Linked DNA regions of Macaca mulatta. The protein of the gene in region 2 purifies or fractionates together with the protein of the main gene of each other region. This does not show direct contact. Links are inferred from orthologs where the notes say so. Each region holds a gene or a part of one and is shown on either strand. Other genes may lie near its edges. The genes, in order: CDK12 and CCNK.

Region 1 (4,597 bases), on a different chromosome or scaffold from region 2:
GTGGCTCAAGCCTGTAATCCCAGCACTTTGGGAGGCCGAGACGGGCGGATCACGAGGTCAGGAGATCGAGACCATCCTGGCTAACACGGTGAAACCCCGTCTCTATTAAGAAATACAAAAAAAAAACTAGCCGGGCGAGGTGGCGGGCGCCTGTAGTCCCAGCTACTTGGGAGGCTGAGGCCGGAGAATGGCGTGAACCCGGGAGGCGGAGCTTGCAGTGAGCTGAGATCCGGCCACTGCACTCCAGCCTGGGTGACAGAGCGAGACTCCGTCTCAAAAAAAAAAAAGTTTAAAAAAAAAATAAAAATAGGCCGGGCGTGGTGGCTCACGCCTGTAATCCCAGCACTTTGGGAGGCCGAGGTGGGCGGATCACAAGGTCAGGAGATCGAGACCACGGTGAAACCCCGTCTCTACTAAAAATAGAAAAAATTAGCCGGGGGCAGGGGCGGGCGCCTGTAGTCCCAGCTACTCGGGAGGCTGAGGCAGGAGAATGGCGTGAACCCGGGAGGCGGAGCTTGCAGTGAGCCGAGATTGCGCCACTGCACTCCAGCCTGGGCGACAGAGCGAGACTCCGTCTCAAAAAAAAAAAAAATAAATAAAATAAAATAAAAATAAAAATAAAAATAAAAAAAATAAAAATAAAAAAATAAAATGGAGGAGGAAACATTAAGAATTCCAGCCCCTGACAGCTAGGAACACTCTGCAGCTTGATGTACTCACATCATTTATGAATAATTGTAACTTTAAGTCAGCAAAAATTACACTGAAATACAAAAGCCATGTATGAGGCAGGCGTGGTGGCTCAAGCCTGTAATCCCAGCACTTTTGGAGGCAGGAGGATTGCTTGAGCTCAGGAGTTCAAGACCAGCCCCATTTTACACCTGAAGCAACTCAGGCACAGAGAAATTAACTAATTTGCTAAAGGTCAAAAAGCAACATTAGGATTCCACAAAGTTCTAACTAAAGCCCACCTTCTGTTTTCGTGAACAGAGGTGAGGCCACAAAGGAGTCAAAATATAAGGAAGGCATTATTACCATGTGTTTTAGAGAAAGATTTTGAAAATTGTCAGCGGTCACAAGGTAGGTCAGTGATGATGCTGTAAAGAAAACCAAATTGTCCTTGGAACCAATTTCTGCTAGGTTATACCATCAAAAGGGTAACAGATTAATCAGTTGAATTTCCACTAAAACATCAGTTAAAAGACAGGAATCTTTTGTAAATTATTAAAACAGTGCCAAGTAGGAAATGAATAAATGTACAGATTTGGGGACTCAGTGGACAACACAAATAGGATAACCTAGGCAAGTAACTTTAATACAAACGAAACTTTGTAATTTCTTAAGTCTTCAACCAGGTCCCATAGAGTCTAAAGCACTAATACCAATATGATTTTTAAAAATTTTAAACTAAGCAACAGAAACAGCTAAACATGCTCTGGGAACTAGTATCAACTCCATCCACTCACTAAGCAGAAGCCTTTGACATTTCTCACTTACAAGCTTACAACTGAAGACCCCACCACTGGAAGTACCTACCTTTAGGGGTTTGAGGCCTATATACTCTTCACTTTTCGTTCTGGGTTAAGGGGAGACAGATTCACACACTGCAACGACTAGCCAACAGCAAAGTGTTCTAATCAATGATGAACACTGCAGGCTTCCACACAATGTTAACACGCTGAATGCCAATTCCTCGCAACCCACCCTAAATGAGGAAGGACTGTTAGACAAATAGCTCACCTGGGGAGTGGACTCCGACTCAGGGACCGCTTGCTCAGGAAAGGGCTGCTGGACCGCCTTCGACCATAGGGGCTGGGCGATCGCCCGCTGTAAGAGCCGCTCCTTTCGTAGCTGGACGACCGTCTCCTGCTATAGGGACTGACAGACCTCTGTCGCCTACTGTAGGGGCTCGGTGACCGGGTGCTTGACTGGTAGGCCGAAGGCTCTTTGTAAGGGGGGCTGATCGACTGCCTTCTCGAGGTACTTCCAGGACTTTTCTTGTAGGAGTCATAATTGCTCGAGGTATGAGATCTTGGGGGACTAAGGTCATAATCTTGGCCATAAGAAGCTCCCGAGGGGCTATCATCTTGTTTGGAGCTGTCAGACCACTTCCTGTGGGGGCTCCTGGATCTCCGTTTGGGGCTGTCCACTGTTTTGTAACTTTTGGGTGTTTCCCTTTTTCGATGACTTTTACTCCGGTCTTTGTGCCCAGACTTCAGCTCCCGTTCTTTCCTGGTCTTCTCCTTGTGGAGCTTGGATGACCTGGATTCCTTGCTGCTGCTTTTGGCTACCTGCGCCTTCCCATAGTCATCAGTCTCCTCATTCGAACGCTTTGAACTTCCCGATATCCGGTCCTTCATCGATCCCGACTTGCTGGAGACTTCCTGGCTTTTTTCTTTTTCGGTCTGTTTAGCTTTTAGTAAGTCCCGGGAACGCCTGTGCTGGTGGTGACGATGTTTGTGCAGGCGGTCGCTCCGATCTGATCCACGACGTTCGTCGTTCTCCCTTCTGTCTAGTTTGAAGGCCATGTCATCGGAGAAGGTGTCGGAATCAGAGCTGATATCATCATACTCCACCAAAGGTTTGATAACCGTGCCCAGGGATGCTGCTTCGGGGGTCACCAACCCCATGTCTTTGGAGTGTTTGGACTTATGCCGCTTGTGCTTCGACACCAAGCGGTGACGCTCTCTGCTGTTAGAGCTGCCGCCTCCCGATGACGGCTGCAAAGTTCCAGAAGCTCCTCCACTCCCGTCCTTCTTGCCCCCATGTCTCTCTGAATTGGGCATTCCCTTTCCCCTGACCTGAAGAAGGGAAAAAAGTTCCCCAGCACTCCAAAAAGCAACCCCCACCCTCCCCCCCAACCCCAACTCCACGCCCACCAAAGCGCCCCAGGAAGGGGGTGGGGAGGGCAGGGACCGTAGCCCAGACTCCTCCTCCCTCCCGACGCCTCAGCACCCTCCTACATGAGGTGGGGGGTGAAGGAGCGAGGGAAGAAATGAGAGTTCCTCGGCAGTGGAGTTGCGAGACAACGGGGAGCTGCTCAAGTCTGTTTCCTTTTCTCCCCGCGCCGAGCCAGTCCTCAGGCCCGGGCGCCAGGGAGGTCGAGGAAGTGAGAAGCCGACGGCCCGGGGCTGTGGGGCCGACTCCGGCTCTGGGGCCCTGCGAGGACTACGCGGGCCCTTCCCCTACCCGGTAGCCCGGCTCAGGGCGGCTTCCTGTCGCCGGGATCCCGCGGCCTAGGTGCCTCACGCCCCCTTTGTCCCTCGTTCCTGAGGGAGCCCCTTTTCTTGCCTCCGTTTCACCTCCACACCACACACACACTCTCCCTCACACAGACTCAGTCACACACTAGATTAAACCGAAACGGCACTTAGAGGAGGGGGGAGGGGCAATCCCAGAAATCGTCGCGAAAGTCCAGTAGCCTCTCGCGATGTTTCATGCTTTGCTTTCACCTCATCCCGCTGCTTCATCAAACAACGCGAGATCAGGTCCCAAACTAGAAACGCGTTTCACCTGACTCTCGCGATGAACTCTCTCTCCCCATTTGAACAAAGCTTTATTGAAACGGAACAAACCGAGTTTTTTTTTTTTAACCAAAACTTTATCGATAAGTGATTAAACAAACACTCCCAGGCTCCCTGACAAACTAATTTTAACTTCCTTTTTAACAAATCTTTTAACTACCAGGATGACTTTGTTTTTTGTTTTCTTTTGAGACGGAGTCTCGCTCTGTCGCCCAGCCTGGAGTGTTAGTGGCGCGATCTCGGCTCACTGCAACCTCTACCTCCCAGGTCCAAGCGATTCTCCTGCCTCAGCCTCCCGAGTAGCCGGCATTACAGGAGCCCGCCACCATGCCCGGCTAACTTTTGTGTTTTTAGTAGAGACAGGGTTTCACCATGTTGGCCAGGCTGGTCTCTACCTCCTGACCTCAAGTGATCTTCCCGCCTCGGCCTTCCAAAGTACTAGGATTACAGGCGTGAACCGCCGCGCCCGGGCGTTTTGTTTGTTTGTTTGAAACAAGGTCTCTCTCTGTTGCCCAGACTAGAGTGCAGTGGCGCGATCTTGGCTCACTGCAGCCTCCATCTCCGGGGCTCAAGCAATCCTCCCACCTCAGCCTGCCGAGTACTTGGAACTATAGAGTCGCGCCACCACGCCGTGCTAATTTGTTTCTATTTTTCGTAGTGCTGGGGTTTCGCCATGTTGCCCAGGCTAGTCTCGAACTCCTAGACTCAAGCGATCCTTGGTCTTGAACTCCTAGACTGAAACAATCTGCCCACCTGGTCCTCCCAAAGTGCTGGGATTACAGGCTTGAGCCGCTGCACCCGGCTGAGATTATTTTTTACAGAGCAAAAGACAAATGTGGGGACATTTCAACCCAAGTCCCTGAGTGTTTTAACAGTGCTTCCAACATATAGGGTGTGTGCTACGTGCCAAGCATTTTACATACATTATCTCTAATTTTCACAAGTATCCTGCAAAACACGAGACTTTCATCCCCATTTTATAGAAAAGGAATCCCAGCCTCAGGGAAGTTGAATCATTTAGTCCAACAAGTGCCACAGTTAACATTCAAATTCATGTCTTTTTGAGACTAAAG
Region 2 (4,289 bases):
CATCCTAGAACCACTTTTCTCAAGCCAGGAAAACTGAGTTTTTGTAAATGTAATCACACCAACTAAATTTATTTATTTAAAAAAAATTTTTGAGACGATCTCACCTAGTAAATTTATATCTGGTTGGTTCTGGCCTATTATTATATTCCAGCCTTTAAGAACTCTTTGATTTCTGAGTGTCATCTAATGTGTGGCTGATTATCACTACATGGTTTGAGTGCATTTATTAACTTGAGAATCATGCTGTTTATATATTTAAAGTTGGTAATAAAAAAGTGTTAATCAGAGGCCGGGTGCGGTGGCTCAAGCCTGTAATCCCAGCACTTTGGGAGGCCGAGACGGGTGGATCACGAGGTCAGGAGATCGAGACCATCCTGGTGAACACAGTGAAACCCCGTCTCTACTAAAACTACAAAAAAAAAAAAAAAAAAACCTAGCCGGGCGAGGTGGCAGGCGCCTGTAGTCCCAGCTACTCGAGAGGCTGAGGCAGGAGAATGGCGTGAACCCGGGAGGCGGAGCTTGCAGTGAGCTGAGATCAGGCCACTGCACTCCAGCCTGGGCGACAGAGCAAGACTCCGTTTCAAAAAAAAAAAAAAAGTGTTAATCAGAGCAAGGGCAACACCAGAGTCCTGTAGCATATCTCCAAAGACAACTCTTCAGGTTTACATCAACCCATTAATCAACATTTTGGGGTTGGTAATTTGCATGGATATCAATCCATCTAACCACACCTTATCCAATGCATATTTAACTCTTGTATCTAGACACAGTATTAGAATCTTGTTGGAAGACTGTGTCCTAAATAAACTTAAACGAACTTACGTCCAGCAATCCCCAATCACCACCAGTCTAGTAACAAAAGGAAATGATTTGTGTCACCTGGCTTTTTCTTGAAACAGGGTCTTGCTCTGTCGCCCAGGCTGGAGTGCAGTCACGTGATCACGACTCACTGCAGCCTTGATCTCTAACTCAAATGATCCTCCTGCCTCAGTCTCCCTAGCTACCACAGGCATGCACCTCCACATCTGGCTAATTTTTTTATTTTTTTTTAGTGATGAGGTCTCACTATGTTGCCCAGGATGGTCTTGAACTCCTGAGCTTCAGTGATCCTCCAGCTTTGGCCTCCCAGAGTACTGGTATTATAAGCGTGAGCCACCACCTCTGGCCTCACCTGGCCTTTTCTTATTGAAGCTCTGTTGGCTTCAGGGAATCAGCTCTCCTTTCCCAAGTACTCATAAACTTGTTGGCTCTTCCAACCAGATTCTAAAAGTTTATTAATAGGTTCCTAGCAGCCAAGGGCCATCGAATGGTTCTGTGTGAAAACTGAGACATTTACCAGACTCTAGTCTTCTATCATTAACTGCACTTTTAGGATTTTTCAAAATTTATGAATAATGATTTTATAAAGTCATCTGCAAATACTCTGGTATACAATTTACCTGAGCTTAAAAATATGATCACTCTGTAATCTCCTCAATTACCTTGAATTTAATTCCTCTAGATTTTTTTGTCCTCATCCAGTTTTAAAGAAAACAAGCAGAAAACACTGTCCTCCCTTTTAGACACTAAGCAGAGTCACTGCTTTCAAATATAACGTCCTAAAATGAACTAGCCCATTTTATAGGCCACGGCTATGACCAATTTTTCTTTATGACATTCAATTTTAGAAACAGCATTTAACATTTAAGAACCTCATTAACAACTCGAATAGTTTTTATTGCTTGTTGGTGCAACCTACATTTTCAAAATGGAACAAATTTAAACAGGATTTGCCTAGAAATCGACTAATATGCTGGAATACTGCATCACAGTATAATCGAAATGAGATACAAGAGGGGGAAAAAACCCTAAAAGACAGCAGTGGTAGTCGCTCTGAATAAAACAATCTCGGATAATTACTATATTCATAGTCAAGATTATTTAACAGGTAAGCATCCTAAGGGCATAACTTTAATCCAGATGTCTATCAATACTATTACCATTACCACCATCTATCCATTCTTTCATTCAGCAATACGGAGGGCTTATTAAACGTCAGGCAGTGTTCCAGGCGCTGAAAGCTCCTCGCTTTCATTCTAGCAACATCATTCATACAAACTTTTAGTGGGCACCTACAATTGCAAGGCATTGTGCTAGATATCTGTAAACAGCGATTTACATCGAGATACACAAACATCACCAAGTTTCCCTTAAAAACATAGACCACCCTTAAGAAATGCTTAGAAGTTCCTAACCTCAGATGACTTAGCAAAAGCTCCGTTTAACTGGCAATCTAAATTTAGCGAGCACTACCGAGCCTATCTTGGGCAGACAATAGTTTAGGAGCTGTCAGATAACCTCTAGATTTACGCTCCAATTTTCTAAAGAACAATTTCTCTCATAACAAACCAAAGCAACCACCAGGAGCGCGTCCGTAAAGACGATGTCTCGGCAACAACTAAATCTAACCGCGGAAGTGCCTTTTCCTCATTCTTAGTCGCACCCTCGTTACGTGGCTCTTCAAAACTCCAAAGTCGGAGTACCCTAGACATGGAACAACCTCCAAAAAGTCTCAGGCCTAGCCAAGGTTGGGACTAATACGCCGCGAAATAATCGGGGAGATATGAGCAGTCTGTGGCTGTGAGACTGCGCGGTTAACACCCCTGCCCCTTTTGTCCAACCCCTAGAAAGTCCCCGAACTCTGACTGCTCCCCAGTGCGAGGGCCGCTACCAGTTCTAGACTGAGCCCGGCCTCCCTGCCCCGCCCCGGCGCCTCAGACCCTCTCTACACGCCCGCCCCACAGCCCCGCGCCGCCCGCTAAGTTCAATGTGTACCGGAGGTTAGCGGAGGGAGGCAGAATCCGGAAAGAGAGACTCCGCCAGTGGATGGCGGCGGTTGACCATAACCTACTCTGACCTCCAGATACGCGGGAGGTGGGCGGTGCTGCCCGCAGTCGGTGGGTCACTCACCTCTCGCTTCAGGCAAGCCCCTTAGCGACGTCTCTCCTTGCGTACTGCGGCCATCTTGCATGTGGAATGTCGGGGAACTACGTCATCACGCTGCGTCTTGAGACGAAAACCAAGCGACCGGAGGGGCGGAGAGAGTAGGATGCCTGTCAACCAATGGGAAGAAAGCAGAGCTCTCAAAAGAGGAACAAGCCGCCGCTCTCCTCCCCGCCCGCCCGCCCGCCCCGCGGGACAGTGGCTGCTGCGTGCAGGGGGAGGAGCCAGTCACAGGGCCCATCCCGTCGGTCCCGCCCCTTGGAGCAAAAAGGCATTCTGGAGCAACCGAACCTGCTAACGGAACTTGGGCGCGTAGGCGGGGCCCGGGTCGAGATTCGTCCAATCAGAGCTCTGGCGGGGGCGAACGCAGCCAATTGCGACTTCGGGGTTGGCGGCCGCTGAGCCGGCCGCTCTCGTCCCCGGGAGCCGCCAGCCCACTGGCTGGGGAGGACCCCGGACGGAACGCCGGCTGGGCGGCGGGGCGGGGCCGCGCCCATGCGTCCGAGGTGTGGACCAATGAGCAGCGGCGGCGGCGGCCCGGGGGCGGGGTCCGGGGCGGGCGGAGCAGGGTTGGGCCGCGGCAGCGGGGCCGTCTCAGGCTGCCGTCCCGCCCCTCCCGTCCGGCCGCCGCCGCCGCCGCCACCGCCGCCACCGCCTGGGGGTTGGTTGAGGCGGACGGCGGGGTCCGGGCCGGAGTGCGTCGTTCCCGCTGCGCTAAGGGAAGCGGGCAGGTGAGTGCTGGCGGCGGTCTCTGCGCGCGCGCGGCCCGCGGGCTGCGGGGAAAACTCGCGCTGCGTCTCCGAGCTCTACGAGGCCGTCCCTCGCCCTGGCCAGCGCCCCTCGGCCGAAGTCCGGCCCGCGCCCCCGCCAGGGTCTCCGCTTGCCGCTCTGGGCCCAGGGCTTGAAGGGGGCAGGTGTGCGCTCGGGTGCCTGGGCGGGGAGGGCCCGGCGGGGTCGGAGGGCTCCGGTCGGCCTCTGCCCGGGCGCCCTGCGGGGCGGGAGGCGCGCTCTCGCCGCTGCCCGGTCCCCTCTGCCGCCCACGCTCCCGGGCCTCGCGCCACCCGGTCTCGAGGTGGTGGCAGGTGCAGGCAGCGCTCTCCCCGCGCTTGGTCTCCTGTCCCCGGCCCTCGCTCCTGCTCTCGGGTGGGGCCCTGGTCCCTCGGGCTGGTCGGCTCGGCTCGGCGCGCGGCCGGGTCGAGCTCTCATTTCCTTCCTTCCTCCCGTCTCCCCGCTGCTCGGGGAAGGCCGTGCGGTTTTATGTTCCTCTCTGCGAGTTCTCGGTGCCCACCGGGGTGCCCGGGGACCAG

What was found.
Region 1: the proteins of CCNK (region 2) and CDK12 purify together in Homo sapiens (affinity purification with mass spectrometry; 6 studies listed by BioGRID and IntAct, with this or other methods). This does not show direct contact. The link is inferred for Macaca mulatta from reciprocal best matches to the Homo sapiens genes CCNK and CDK12.

The regions. Positions count from the first base shown.
Region 1 is NC_133421.1:63,802,920-63,807,516, reverse strand, and holds the start of CDK12 (cyclin-dependent kinase 12), read right to left. Parts: upstream 2,848-4,597; 5' UTR 2,787-2,847; coding exon 1,741-2,786; exon of another isoform or gene 661-1,740; intron 1-660. UniProt on the Homo sapiens protein: Cyclin-dependent kinase that phosphorylates the C-terminal domain (CTD) of the large subunit of RNA polymerase II (POLR2A), thereby acting as a key regulator of transcription elongation.
Region 2 is NC_133412.1:172,803,809-172,808,097, reverse strand, and holds the start of CCNK (cyclin-K), read right to left. Parts: upstream 3,021-4,289; 5' UTR 2,950-3,020; intron 1-2,949. UniProt on the Homo sapiens protein: Regulatory subunit of cyclin-dependent kinases that mediates activation of target kinases.